Linked DNA regions of Lonchura striata. The main gene of each other region encodes a partner of the protein of the gene in region 2 in a complex. Links are inferred from orthologs where the notes say so. Each region holds a gene or a part of one and is shown on either strand. Other genes may lie near its edges.

What was found. Proteins that work in one complex are often made in the same cells at the same time.
Region 1: the proteins of BACH1 (region 2) and FBXO22 are in contact, whole or in part, in a cryo-EM structure (PDB 8S7D), measured with the Homo sapiens proteins. The link is inferred for Lonchura striata from reciprocal best matches to the Homo sapiens genes BACH1 and FBXO22. Residues at the interface, in NP_001177.1 of Homo sapiens: Ser7, Val8, Phe9, Ala10, Tyr11, Glu12, Ser13, Ser14, Val15; in NP_671717.1 of Homo sapiens: Asp366, Gly371, Asn372, Phe373, Ile374, Leu375, Arg376, Lys377, Cys378.

What each region holds. Positions count from the first base shown.
Region 1 is NC_134613.1:4,671,461-4,678,742, forward strand, and holds the start of FBXO22 (F-box only protein 22), read left to right. Parts: upstream 1-4,273; 5' UTR 4,274-4,327; coding exon 4,328-4,431; intron 4,432-4,520; coding exon 4,521-4,653; intron 4,654-5,607; coding exon 5,608-5,695; intron 5,696-6,017; coding exon 6,018-6,113; intron 6,114-6,959; coding exon 6,960-7,124; intron 7,125-7,282. Other genes in the region: UBE2Q2 (ubiquitin-conjugating enzyme E2 Q2), read left to right, coding at 271-366, 805-871, 2,584-2,615. UniProt on the Homo sapiens protein: Substrate-recognition component of the SCF (SKP1-CUL1-F-box protein)-type E3 ubiquitin ligase complex that is implicated in the control of various cellular processes such as cell cycle control, transcriptional regulation, DNA damage repair, and apoptosis.
Region 2 is NC_134604.1:4,185,202-4,192,540, reverse strand, and holds the start of BACH1 (transcription regulator protein BACH1), read right to left. Parts: upstream 3,020-7,339; 5' UTR 2,912-3,019; intron 1-2,911. UniProt on the Homo sapiens protein: Transcriptional regulator that acts as a repressor or activator, depending on the context. Binds to NF-E2 DNA binding sites. Plays important roles in coordinating transcription activation and repression by MAFK.

The sequences.
Region 1 (7,282 bases), on a different chromosome or scaffold from region 2:
TTAATGCTGTAAGGATGGAGCTTTTTTGTTTCTGTCTTTCTATATTTTGGAAATGTGCTTCAGCCTTTTCATTCTTCTTACGAGTTATTAGTACTAGGACTGTATATAATTTTACAGATTTTCTGTGGAAAAGAAATGTTAACTGAAAATAAGTAGTTAAAACTTGAATGCAGGAAAAAAAATCCTAAAGCACATGTTCCAAAACAGGTTTGCAAGGTGAGCACAAGAAGCAAGTATATGTTGTATGTTGGCATTCTTTTCCTCCTCCAGGGCTGGAGCAGTGCCTACTCAATAGAATCAGTCATCATGCAGATCAATGCCACTTTAGTCAAAGGAAAAGCCAGAGTACAGTTTGGAGCCAATAAGGTAAATGTACTGTGTTTCTTAGTTACACAAATCCCTGTTGGGATTCCATTTCCTTGCTGACCCACATTGAGGATGCTTAATGACAAAATTGTTATGGCAAATATATATGCATTTCAACTTGGCGGGTGCCTGTATGTGTATTTTATTGGCAATTAAACATTTTTTATGTAATTACAAGCAGATGAGTTAGATAGTCTTGGGATGGGCAGGGTAGGCTTTTACTGTCCTTGTATCGGCAAGGGAGGGGGAGGCAAGGAGGATTAGAATTGGGAAGATTTGGAATTTCCAGCTCTGAGAAGGGAATCCTGAAAGCCAGGAATGTTATAACATTGTGTATGGAGTTTATTTTTAAGCCCACTGTAGAATTTCCTTGTTAGAACTGTTTTTGAGTCTTCATGTCTAGATGCAGGTTTTTATGTTAGTTTTTTCTCCTTTCAGAATCAATATAATCTAGCAAGAGCACAGCAGTCCTATAAGTCACTAGTACAAATACATGAGAAAAATGGTATGTATATTCTTGCCACTTTGTTCTTGTCTGCACAGCACCTTGGGAATTGGTGTTTGCCACAGAGAAACTTGAAGTGACAAAGTGTCTTATTTTGGCTTGGGAAGACCATTAATGTTTCTTCCTTCTTCTTGCACTAGAAAAGCAGTAGTGCTTAAATAACTTCACTGCAATCACTGCAACTTTTCCAGTTTACTTGAATGTTGTGTGTGTTCCTGCTGCTTCTTGAAAGGCAGCTGCGTATTGTTTTCAGCTAGTTGATCTAGGGACTTTATTGTTACTGTAGCATTAAGTATTAAGGACTCTTTAATATTGGTGAAGTATCTGCTGGGAGTTTATCCCTTTCCCTGAAAGATTTTGTTTCAATGTGTCAAGAACCTAGTGGAAATAACATTAATGAAAGAAAAAAAAAATAGGGAAAAAAGACCCGAGACTAAAACATACAAAAAGTCCAAGTGAGGTGTACAAGCTGGGAAAGTGTACAATAGAATAGGGAAAAGCGTGTTTTGGTATGGGCTTTTTAAAATCTCTGCTGCATAAAACAAGTGTACAAATGCTTCAGGTACAATTGAATTTACTGTGGCAGTATGAGAAGCTTGAGGCTATAAAAGGTTTAAGTAGCTTACATGTTACATAAAGGTAGTCAGCAGAATTGATACTCTGGTCTTTTGATGATAGAGCCAGCGCAGTTACACTTCCATGCTGTTCAGGGCTCTGGGTTGGACACAGTGTCCTCCAGGAACTGAGGTCATTGTAAATGTGTTTGTGAGCACCTCAGCTTCCCTGCTGCTCACATGGAACATAACTTGTTCCTTGTACTCTTGGGAGGAAGATCAAAGATAATGATTTAACATCATCTCAAATTTTACAGTATTTTGATCTTGCCGTTAACTGAGCCTTTTGCCTTTTCGTCTGCTACAAAAGCCAGCGTGGCTGTTTACTTGTATGTGCTGCAAGTGATCAGTCCTGCCTCAGGATCTGTACACAAAGCCTTCACAGTACTCAGTGCTGCTGTGAAAGGTGTCTTAAGCTTAGAGGTGCTATTTGCTCTCTGGGACAGCACAAACAGGCCTTGTAGTTACTGTACACGTTTAAAGGAAATGTTACAAGAGGGGCTGGGAGAATTAAGATTGGAGCTCTGGAGGTCTCTAGAAAAAGCAGTGCACACCTGATCAGGTGTGATTCAGCTGCTAAACATGCCAAATTAGGCCAGGAGACCAGTTATCCATCTGACATTTCTGAGCTTATTCCTATGGTAAGACTTGCAGAAGTAGGATAAGCCATTCAGTTGCTTCTGCATGCCTAACTCTACAGAACTCAAAATAAGTGTCCCAGTGCAGTCACGTTTATATGTCTGTTTTAAGTAGCTTGAAGACTTGTGGGTTTTACCTCTCTTCTGTTAAGTTTGGTTAGAGCAATGTTCCTCCTTCAGCAGCTTCCCCTTGTTAGTGTTCCGCTTGTCCAGCTCAGGATAGCTGCTGCTGTAGAAATCTGTGTGTGCACACCCAAATACCAGGTCACATCCTGGTATGTGCCACATAGTTTGTCTTGCACTGCTGACTTACTCGCATTTAGGGCACTGGGTCTTGCTGAGCTGGCCTGCTTTAAGAGGGAAGGACTGAGCCAGGTTAGGCTTCCATCTCCCACAGGTGAAGAGTAGGATGGTCTGGACACAGCAGCTTTGGTACCTAACATCTCTCTGTTCTCCACAGGCTGGTACACTCCTCCAAAAGAAGATGGCTAAGGCTGAGGACTGTTGTATACCTGGACCAATGTCAACAAAACAAGCTCTTTTTTATGTTTCCCAACACACAGACTCAAGCTATGAGTGCCCCTATAACAGCTGTACTGAGGACTTTAGCTATTAGATAAGTTAGTGGATATTCTGTCAACTGACACGTACAGTATAAGTTACAGCCTTACCATTCCGCTCTTAGGCATCTGGACTGAGCAGTTTGGGCCTTTACCATATTTGTTCTTATGGAGTAAGCAGATTTGGGCCACACCCTCCCTTCTCCCTTTTTTTATTTGAAAGCATAAACTCTCCCTGCAGCAGGCTATTGACTTACTAAAGATCATACAATAGGAGTGAGTTGTTCACACACTTCTGTGTATTTCTTACTTTCTGCAAAAGGCAGACTGCAGAGACTTGCATTGTATTGTTTCATTTAAAGCCAAGAAGTTTAATACATTGTTTAATACTGTTTTAGGAAATGTCAGGTCTTGCAAATCACAGTAGTTTTTCTGGTCTAAAATGACAGCGTTTGTAGTATTTTCCGAATTAATGATATAGGAAAAACACATGTATGTTAAGTCATTAAACATTTTTCATGGCTGTATGAGAATATGAACTTTTTATTGGAAAATATGCTCTTTGTTTAGATTATTTTAAATTTTTTGTTTGTTTTTTTAAATTTTGTTTTGGTTTTTTGGTTTTATGCAGAGCAAGGCTGTGCCAATAAAACCTTGTAACTAGTCATGTCCACTGGGGCATCAGAACTTGCTGGACTGTTCCTGCTACTTGTTGGCTCAAGCTCCTTAACAAGAGCCACAGTATGAAGCTTGAAGTTATTTAAAATACTAAAAACCTTTTTAGGTGTTCCATTTTATTAACGGGTTGTTGCAATCATTTCTAAACTAATGAACTTATAAAGTGATTGGCACAAAATGAGATGAAAGTCCTTGAATGAAAATTTTTTATATAAAAACGACAGTAAAGTACGAAAACATGTCATCCAGTTAGAGGTGTAAGAAATGCTGCCATAGTCATGACGGTGGCTTTGTTATTGAAAGACTAATGGGAACTGTTCTTTCTTTATTAGGAGATGAGTCTGGGTCTGTGTACTTACACAATTTCATTGCCTTACCGGAATCGACTTATTTTGGTTGTAGTACTTCCTATTCCTTAGGCGTGTGCACTCCTCGGGGCCGAGCAAAGGGTGTGTTCCATGGATTAAGCATTTCAGAAGTGCAAAAGCATGTTTTTATGTTGGTTTTTTTTTTTAGTTGACTATCGAACTTATGCTCTTTTCTCTATCAGGCGCCCGCGGGTCCTTGTGCATTTGCTTGTAGATCCAGTTTTTAGCTCGAAAGAAGCGAGCTGGGCGAGGTTTAGCGCCGCTCCCAGGGCGCGTTGTTCCGGTGCGCCGGGGCTGGGGCGGCCCCGGCCTGCGCCCTGCGGCGCATGCTTCGGTTGGGGTTCCGTTTCTTCTGGCAGAGTTCCTCGGCAATGTACAGTAATTTGTAAACTTGCATCAAGTTTATGAATAAAAAGCATTTTACGAAGCGCTGTGTCCGTGCTGGGGCCCGGGGCGCGAGGGAAGGGGGGAGGTGAGAGCGGGACGGGTCCTCCCCGCCGCCAGGCGGCGCCAGTGCACTGGCTCCCCGCTCGCGCTGACCGGAAGTTGCCGTAGGCGCGGTGACGCGGGGCAGCGGGGCCGGGGAGGCGGCGGGGCCATGGACTCCGCGGCGAAGGGCGGCTACGTCCTCGCCAACCTCGCCGAGGTGGTGGAGCGTGTCCTCGGCTTCCTGCCCACCAAGGCGCTGCTGCGCGCCGCCTGGTAAGGGCCGGGACAGTGGGGTGGGCGGCGGCCGGCTCCGGTCGGTGGGGGCGGCGCGGCTGACGCGGTGCGTCGGTGTTGTGTTGCAGCGTGTGCCGGCTGTGGAGGGAGTGCGCCCGGCGGACGCTTCGGACGCGGCAGCGAATCGCGTGGGTGTCGGCGCTGGAGCCGGGCCCCGCCGAGAACCACGCGCTGGTGCGCGCGCTGGCGCGCGAGCTCGAGGTGAGGCGCGCGGGCTCGCCCCGGGCGCGGCGGAACGCGCGGGCTGGGACAGCGACGCCGCGGGACTGCGCCGCCCGCAGCGCTCCGTTCAGCCTGCTGCTGGTCCTCACCGCACAACGATTCGTGTCGGGTCTTCAGCAGCAAACAGCCTCAGCGGATCAGCGTTAAATCAACTGGGACAAGATGGGCCGGAAGCACCTCTACGCTGTTTACCAGCATCAGCACTGGTGACAGTAGAGGCCAACAACCATGAATGCAATGAGTTTAGATAGTGCTAAAAGAGGAAACAGAGTCATGGGCCAGTCTGCTGAGCTGTTCTTCCTTCTGTGAGGTTTGGGTCAGCTTCCTGCCTGTGGGCAGAAATGCCTCTGGGCACTTTTGAAGCTAATGAGAGGTTATCTGTTGGCTGGCAGGAGTCTGGTAAGGGGGAGGGGACCAGTATGGGCTGGCGGTGGAGCAGGAGCTGTTTATCCTCGGTTTCTGCCCCCACTTTCTCTCCACTCTGTCCTGTTGTGGCATTCACATTCTCTGGACAGAGAGACGTAATTCTGTCTCTCAGGAGAAGTTCAGAGAGAAGAGAAAACAATCTTTATCTCTGCTCCTTTGTTTTTCCCATGTGGAATCTGGTATGGAGATTGTTTACCTGAATTTATCGCTGGATTGGATTCTGGTGAAGGTTGTTTGGGTTCAGTGTCCACCTGGACTGAGCTGTGGCTCGGACTCTCAGCAGGCAGTCACAAGTTTGTTAGTTGGTAATTAGTTGATAGGTAAGAAGTACGTATGTAGAATAGTATAGTTGCTCTTTAAATAGTATATTAGTGTAATCTAGTGTAACTTTATAAAGCTGTCCTTCAGCCTTCTGATCTGGAGCCAGACATCATCGTTTCTTCCTAGTTGGGGTTGCCTTTTTTACTATAGTCCTGTCTATGTACTCCTCCACCTGTGTCTTTGCAGAAGGTGCACGTGCTGCCCCAGACCGTGCTCTACATCGCTGATGCAGAGACATTCAGCGGGCACGAGGAGTGTCACGAACAAAAGAAAGGTAAAGCCTGGACCCAACTCACTCCCACTTAAAGACATACTGGATGTGAGTAGAGCATAGTCAGCTGAAAGGGAATTTTCTGTGTTTGGGTTTCAGTGGAAGGGAAATGTTTTGCAGAATCCGTGACTGCGTAGTGTTGCATTTACGCTGCGTGTTTGCCTGCCGGCAGCTCTCAGGGAGCAGCACAGACCAGCGTGCTGTTACCAGGGCAGCCACGGATGGGCAGCATTGGTTAAACAGGATGGGATCGGCTGTGGGATTGCCTCAGAGCACACTTTTACTGCTGTCTGATGGTTGTATTGGTTTCTTCTTGTTTTAACAGCCAGAAAAAGGAACAGTAAAGAAACAGCACTCGCACTTGAAAAGTTGTTGCCAAAGCGATGTCAGGTTCTTGGACTGGTCACCCCAGGGATTGTAGGTAGGAGCAAAATGTGTGGGTTTTTGAGAGGTCAACTTGAAGGTGTCATCTCAGCACTGTTCAGCACTGGTTTCAATTTTAAGGAGTTCACAGTGTCACTACTAAGTGATGTAGTGTTTACTTCATGTATTACAGTTAAAATTAAAAGGGTTGATTCAGTTAGGCAGGCAGCTTTCCCTGGCACCTTAATGTACTTACTGAATGTTGCTTGGATTTATATATAATTTTCAGTCATATTGTGACCAACTGTAGAGGGCATCCTAGTATATACCTGTTGGAAATGGTCTAGCAGGAGGCATATGCAGTAACTGGAAAGTTCACAGCCTCCTGTGGCATGCTTTTTCTCATTCTCCACTTTTATCATTAGAAACTTGTTTTTTTATGGTTTCTCACCTTAAATTTGCTTCCCACATTATAAGTAAGGTATTTTGATTGTTGTCATTGCCATATTTTAATAATGCGCTCTCAATTTTTGTGTCAGTTTTGCTTTATACTGTCATCACATGCTTATAGGACATCTTAAAAACTTGAGTATGTCTGTGTGCTTGCAGAAGTTGGCAGGAAGGCTTGTATTGCACTGTTCTTGTTTGCCTCATGTTTTATATTTGGTGTGACTGGGGAGATATATCCATGTCTCCATGTCAAAACGGACTTCAGTATGATCCATAGCCAGCATTTCATCTTTCCAAAACATTAACAAAAAAAAGTTAGTTTTCAATTAGATAAGTTGTTACGGAATTAGATTGTCATGTTTTATGTCACCTGAGCTACCTCTTTCTGCCTGTGTTAGTGTAAATGCTTGTATTAGAATCTCTGAACACCAGATCCTTGGTTTTGTCTCCGTAGTTACCCCGATGGGTTCAAGTAGCAATCAGCCTCAAGAAATTGAAGAGGGCGAAGCTGGGTTTGCTCTGTTGTTTCCCAAAATTGATGGGGTGAAAATTCATACCTTCCATTTTTCTAAAGATGTGAAGAACAGGGTCTTTGATGAAAGCAAATTTGCTGAAGCAGGTATGTAATTTTTCTCTCCTTTACGTGGGCTTTTGTGAGGTGCTGCTCTCTGAAGTGCCAGTCTGGAGTTCTGAGTAGAACCAGCAGCTTCTGTACTGGCTCCAAGAGCCTCTGTGGGGCTCCAGCTGGTGTCTGTGCATCTCTGCTCCTCTCAGTCT
Region 2 (7,339 bases):
CTGGGGGTGCTCATCCTGGAGAAGAGATGGCTCCAGGGAGACCTTAGAGACCCTGATAGTGCCCAAAGGGGCTCCAAGAGCTGGAGGGAAACTCTGGACAAGGGTCTGGACTGGCAGGACAAGGAGGAATGGTTTCAAATTTAAAGAAGGCAGGCTTAGCTATTAGAAAAAATCTGTTCTGTGAGGGTGGTGAGGCCCTGGCACAGGTTGCCCAGAGAAGCTGTGGCTGCCCCATCTCTGAAGTGCTCAAAGCCAGGTTGGACGGGACTTGGATCAACCTGTTCTAGTGGAAGCTGTCCCTGCCCGTGGCAGAGGGTTGGAAATGGATGATCTTTAAGGTCCCTTCCAATGCAGACCACTCCAGGATTCTGTGATTTGATGACCTTAAAAGCAGCATGAACAGGGCAAGCAACTGCCATATATTTACTTATCATAGTATTTGTCAATGGGCCAAGACTGGAATCCAAACACCTACAAACATTATGTTGACAGCTCAAATAAAGTCATTCACAAAGTATCTAAACACAATTTCTAACATTAATTAAATATTCTTTAAGACACAGGCTCTCATTTAAAGACATTTAGTTACTGATACCCTAGGCTACACCTCTTACACTCTCCAATGTATGTTTAATAATTAAACTCAATTTATTTGTATTTCAACAATGCTTCTACAGTTAATTTACCCTTCACAACACACTTTCCCCTTTTTAAAGCTTCAGTAGCTGATTGGTCAGTTGAGCCTTATTCTGACATTCTAACTCACTTTTATACCAAATACTACATTTTCCCTTCATACTTAACAAGAACAAAACTTCCTTCCATCCTTAAGAGTGACTTAACCAAAAAACACTGCATACTACTGGAAACAGAGTGACTTGTGATGCAGTCTTTGATTTGTTACAGCCAAATAAGCCTTTCCATCACTTTTAGTCCCCTCTCCAGACTGCTTACTTCTGAACTAGAGGTGTGGGCAGGGAAATCTGCAGGTGGATCGTCACACATTATCCCCACTGTGGTCACACTAGGCTGAATCTGCACGACTTAATGATTGGTTCAGCAGTTAATTTTGGCTCAGTCAATGTTTTGTTCCTACCCACACTTGCATCAACTAACACACCACCTCTGGTTCAACTAAGGACTACATATAAACAGGACTCACATTATGAATACCACAGTGTTGTCTCCTACTCCCCAGAACCTCCCCCATGAAACTTTCAGTGGTTGAATTCTACAGGACAATTAAAATCCCAGCATTCAGACTCAAACTGATCTGCCACTCTTCTTTGCCTCCACACCAGCATGCCCAGTGCAAAAAGAGAGGACTATGGTTAAAAGAAAACCCATTAAGTGTTTAAAGAAATACACTGATGATCAAACTTGGAAGGTGGGGATGATAATGACAAGGAGACTTGTTGAGCTGCGTTTCCCTGAACCATAGGGCAGAGTTATTTGGGACTTACAGAACTCATGTGCAAAGACCTGTCTATTCTACACCTAACAAGAGTGCCCACCTGATCCAAAGGATCAGGTAAAGGGTATGGGTTTTAACACTAGACCATTTCTACAATAAAAAAATTAATAGTGTTCGAAGTATCCTTTGCATAAGAATATTAGAACCGATTAAAAGCAATTAAACATTTAACACATTCAGATCTTCCATATTTTTACACATAAACTCAAAAGATACAGCTGATGGAAGCTAAAGCTGTACTTCAGCATTTTGGTTAAAATCAGGAGCGTGCTAGTGAAGCAAACTTCCCTAACACCCCATTTATCATGCTTTCATTCACATCACAAGATGAACCCAGACAACAATAGTAGGCTCTTTTTTTAAAGTAAATTGGAAAACACACTCTAGAAGTTCTCAAGAATGTCAAATACTAAGAGATTTAGAATCCTTCTGAAAAACACAGCGGGTATTCAGTTACCAGTGACAACTGTTTCTCCCTGCAAATCTTTCTGGTTTGGGCCTCACTGCTTGCTAAGGTACATACAAGGCTTACTCACTTGAGTTAGGGCATCCAAGAGTAATTATGCTATTTAAGTAATCTTTAAAGTTAAACTCGCATTACAAACCATATTTTGTGGTCTAATTCATACTCATCATGTTGACAGCAATATACTCCTTTCTTTTCTTGCTGTGAGGTGCAATATTTGAGATTAAAGAGCCAACTCTATATGCTAGAGCATTCAGAGTGCTGCATCACCTTAATTTACAGTGCTTCTGGATGGCAATTACTCCATTACTGCAGACAGGTGTATTTCAACACGGAGAAACTGCCTTCCTCAAGTGCCTCAAATTAACCTGTCAAAATTCACTCGACATACAGCTCCAGTGCTAGAACACTTTCTCCCTCCTTTTTTAGTTTAATAAAGATTTGGAAGACCGAGCTGCAGATGATTTTGGGATTACTGTCGGGCTAAAATAGATAACTGCTCTTTTGCGATTACCACCTTTCCACCGAGCCCCAAAACACGCGAAGGATCTCAGCGCACCGAGCAGGAGGGACAGGGTTTGTATTTCGTTGTTTACAGTCCAAAGCAGACCTTCGCCGGCTGCCCCCAAAGGGAAGCAAGCGCCGGCTGCACGCCTGAGCCCGGCAGCGCGGCCGAGCCCCCGGCGGGGCCGAGCCGGCCCTTTCGCAGAGCCGGGAGCGCGGCGGGGGCAGCCCTGCGAACCGGGGCACCGAGCCGGGAGGTCTCGGGGGAAGGGGCGACACCCTCAGCGAGCCGCCGCCGAGGGAAAGCCGCCGCTGCCGGAGCCTCCGCCACCGCCCCGCCCCGGGAGAAGGCCGCGCCGCCGGCCCCGGCCCCGCGGGCGCGCTGCGACCCCCGCCCCGCCGCCTCAGCGCCCCCGCCGCCAGCCCCTCGCGGCGCACGCTCCCGCCGGCGGCCGGCTCGGCGTTACCTCGGTGCCCGCCGCCGCGGGCCGGAGGGCAGCGGCAGCACCGCTGCCGCCTCAGCCGGTCCGGTCCCGTCCCGCCCGGGCCCCGCCGCTCCCGGCTCCGGCTGCGGCTGCGGCTGCGGCCCGACTGCGGCGCGCGCGTCAGGTGACCGCCCGCCCCCCCCCGGCGCGCGCACGCCCCGCGCACGCCCCGCGCGCCCATTGGACGCCGCGCTCGCCGCCGACGCGCGGCCGCCCACGCCGCCGCGCGCCGCCGCGCATGCGCGGCCCCGCCGGCGCGCGGGGCGGCTGCAGAGCGACGGGTCCTCGTCACTCTCCTCACACTCCTCACCCTCCTCACCCCTCCTTTCTCCTCCTCTCTCACCTCTCCTCACCTTCCCTCCTCTCCCTCCTCTTCCTCCTCTTCCTCCTCTTCCTTATCACACTCCTCACTCTCCTCTCCCTCCTCACCCCTTCTCTCCCTCCTCACCCTCCTCACCTTCCTCTCCCTTCTCTCCCTCTTCTCCCTCCTCACCCTCCTCACCTTCCTCTCCCTTCTCTCCCTCTTCTCCCTCCTCATCCTCCTCATCCTCCTCACCTTCCTCTCCCTTCTCTCCCTCCTCACCCTCCTCACCTTCCTCACTCTCCTCTTCCTCCTCACCCTCATCTTCCTCATCACACTCCTCACCCTCCTCACCCCTCCTCTCCCCTCCTCACTCTCTCCTCTCCCTCCTCACCTTCCTCACTCTCCCTCCTCACCCTCATCACCTTCCTCACCCTCATCACCTTCCTCATCCTCCTCTCCCTCCTCTCCTTCCTCACCTTTGTCACCTTCCTCACTCTCCTCTTCCTCCTCACCCCTCCTCACCCCTCCTCACCCTTCCTCTCCCTCCTCTCCCTCCTCACCTTCCTCTCCCTCCTCTCCCTCCTCTCCCTCCTCTCCCTCCTCTCCCTCCTCTTCCTCATCACACTCCTCACTCTCCTCTCCCTCCTCACCCCTTCTCTCCCTCCTCTTCCTCATCTTCCTCATCACACTCCTCACCCCTCCTCACCCCTGCTCTCCCCTCCTCTCTCTCTCTCCTCACTCTCTCCTCACTCTCCTCTTCCTCCTCTCCCTCCTCTCCCTCCTCACCCTTCTCTCCCTCCTCTCTCTCCTCACCTTCCTCACTCTCCCTCCTCACCCTCATCACCTTCCTCACCCTCATCACCTTCCTCATCCTCCTCTCCCTCCTTTCCCTCCTCTCCCTCGTCTCCCTCCCAAATCCACGTACCTCTTTATCCAAAGGCACCAGCCTCTTTCAGAAGCTCCTGCATAAAACACTAATGACAACCAATGAATGCACTGCCAAGACTGCTAATGGGAACTTAATTGTTAAGATATTTTAACCCAGTTTAATAATTTAGTGTGCCTTTGAATGATTTTTTTTAAATGACACACTGTTTTACGGGTATTTAAGTGTCCATAACTTTCTTCAGCTGTTTTTACAGTAGGCTTTCAGTTTTAGTACAGCCTAATATAGATTTTCCTTCAATGTCTATTTGCTAATGGCCTTCCACCTTGTTAAGAAGGCAGAATTTAATTACTTGTGTTTATGAGTTGGTCAACGTATTCACCAGAACAAAGACTTGCATCACAAAATAACTTAAGCAATTTGTTGGAATTTAAATTTAAGAGCAGCTGTTAGCTAATGATATCCAAAAAGTAGCATTTGTCTATAGTTTGGGTACTAACAATACTTGAGGTACTCTGAATCAAAGTTTCTATGCCTGCTTTTTATGTTTTCCATGACTTGTTGTCATGCTGTTAACATCTGTTGGGAATTCCTAATGCCCCAATAATCACACCTGAAGAGAGGAATAAAGACAACTGCTTAGATGGTAAAAACTGAGTTGCAGAAGTGTGAGATATTTACAATGTTTAAGCATAAAATTTAAAATGCCTACTACTAGACTGAAAGTTTTTGTTTTGTTTTTTTTTTTTTTTTTTTTTTTTTTTTTTTTTTTTTTGTCTTTCACAAGGAGTTTTATGGGGAAGAGAGGAAAACAGAAGAGGGAAGAAATGAATAAAAACAAAAGGAGCTCTTACTTTGGTTGAAAGATTGACTACAAAATCATGGACCGCACCCACCAAGAAGGGATCTTCATCTCCTGTTCTGGATCCTAGGGATGATGCAATTCTTGCTTCCCACACAATAGGGAGTGAAGTTACAGTGTAATAGCTTGGTTCTCACTCACAGTCAGACTGAAGAGCTGCAAAAGTACTTCCTGCGTTGAAATTAGACACAACTAGAAGAGGAAAAATACAAAAAACCAAAGTCCCATTTTTTTTTCCTAAAACGAAGAAGTAAAACCATTAAAAAGGAGATCTGGGAATCTAAGCTAAACATCAAGGACATACATCTTCCTGCAGATGAATAACAAATGCTTTAAGCATTTAAAACAATATAAAAGCTTAGGTGACAAATGCTCACAAGTTAGCGTGCATGATAACAAATAATAACAATATTACCAGAAGAAAGGAAGGGAAAATGTCTTTTTTTTTTTTTTCAATAGATTTTTTTTTTTCTGATACATTGGTGGCATTAATGGGACTTTAATTAGTCAGGCATCTCCATGGGGTAATTTTTCCCTTTCTGTGGCTGCTGTCTGAGACAGGTGTGGTGAAACTCCTTTTGGAGATGCCTGTCCCATGCTTTTGGGTGGAAATGTGTCTAACTGGGTCAGGCCACAGACATAGCTCCCAGATTAAACCTATGGCCACATAGTTCTGCAGGATGCTGCCATCAGAATCCTTCACAGCAAAAGTGCTGGGGAATCGTTAGGAAAAATTAATGTTCAAAGCCCATCTTCTAGTTTCACAGGGGCTGACAACCCTGTTGCACATGTGGCCACATTAAATATGACTTCTGTAGGCATCATATATAAAATTCGTCCATTTTACATTCCAATAAATGAAAGCCAAACCACTCCCTCCTGTGAACTTGCAAACACAAAAGCTGTTTTCTAATCTACATTTAGATAACATTTTCTAACTGTAAATTGAGCTATCAAGGAGCTACTGTGGTATGTGTCTAAGTGATTGAAACCTCAGGGCTGTGTCAATATGTATGAGGTGAAAAACTGACTCTTATTTTAAAATGGTTTTTGAAGCCTTTGAACACATTATTTTAGAATTTATTTCCATACCGTCTTCTGCTGTATGTGTGTAATACTGTTCTAATCCTTGGGAACACACATGCTTATTTTTTTGTGGTTTCTGGCTTACAAAAGTCTTTTGTTTGTCCTGGGAAAGCATGGTGTTAATCATAGGAAAATATTTTTACATTCCCTCTTTACAAAAAATGAGAAAAAAATGCTTTCTATCTAGAAGTAAATCCTGTTCTAGTAAACTATCTTTTAAAATGCAATTGTAATTTTAATTCTCTTAAACCTACTGCTAATATGGTCCAGACTCACATAAAATGAAAATTGGTGTCCCTTTTTTTTCCTCTCTAGATATAATTTTTAAAACCATCATCCTTAAATTAAGCAGTAATATTTCAATGGGAAAAAAAGGGGCTTCTTTTCTTTAATAGAATGAGAATTATTTTTGATTCTGCGAGAAGGGATATAAACCATGTGTAAACAATGGCAAAAAGGTGGGAAACAAAGGGGCTAGCTGTGGAAAATAAGAGTTCTGCTTAGATAGGCTGCACGAGCTGTATGAAAAGACCAAAGAATGAGAATTGCAGCAGGATAGCTAAAAAAGCCTCCTAAGAATACTTAAATGAGGAAAATTATTTATTAATGAAAAATAGATTTGCTTCCTGGAAGCTTGGAGTAAACACTGCCAGTGGCTGTAATTTTGTCAAACAGCAATGCCTGAGCTGATGGATCTGGGAGAAGACCAGAGGTGTTCAGGAGGTGAAATTACTGCAGCCAGGCTGTCCAGACCAGGAATTTTCACCCAGCAGCTCTCTTGAACCCTGTGAGGAAATGCAGGTACATGTGGGGAGCCCAAAATATGTCATGCAGGGCTTGATGAGCGTTTCCAGCCTCGAGTCCTGCTGTGGGATCACACCTGGGAGGGCTCTGGTTGAATTAAGTCCCTGTGGCAGAAAACTGCTGAGCCCGAAACCAGCATATTTTTTTTTTTTTTCCAGCATATCCACACACGGACTGATGGAAACACCAGGAATTTGGGAAGGTGGAGGGAGACCTGGTGAAACACCTGATGCTCAGGGGACTGAGGATGTGCATTCCCAGGACCACAGGCTGAGTGCATAACAAACCCCACCGTGTTCACGTGAAGGGGTCACACTGGGGAAAAGAGTCATCTCTCCACAAAACAAACTGCTAGGGTGGGAAGAACCCATCTCTTGAATTTATAATACAGTCTATTGAGAGGCTCCTGAAGTAGCAATTGGTGATGACCCCTCTGCATATGCTTAGTTTAGGAGAACTAATTGCTGG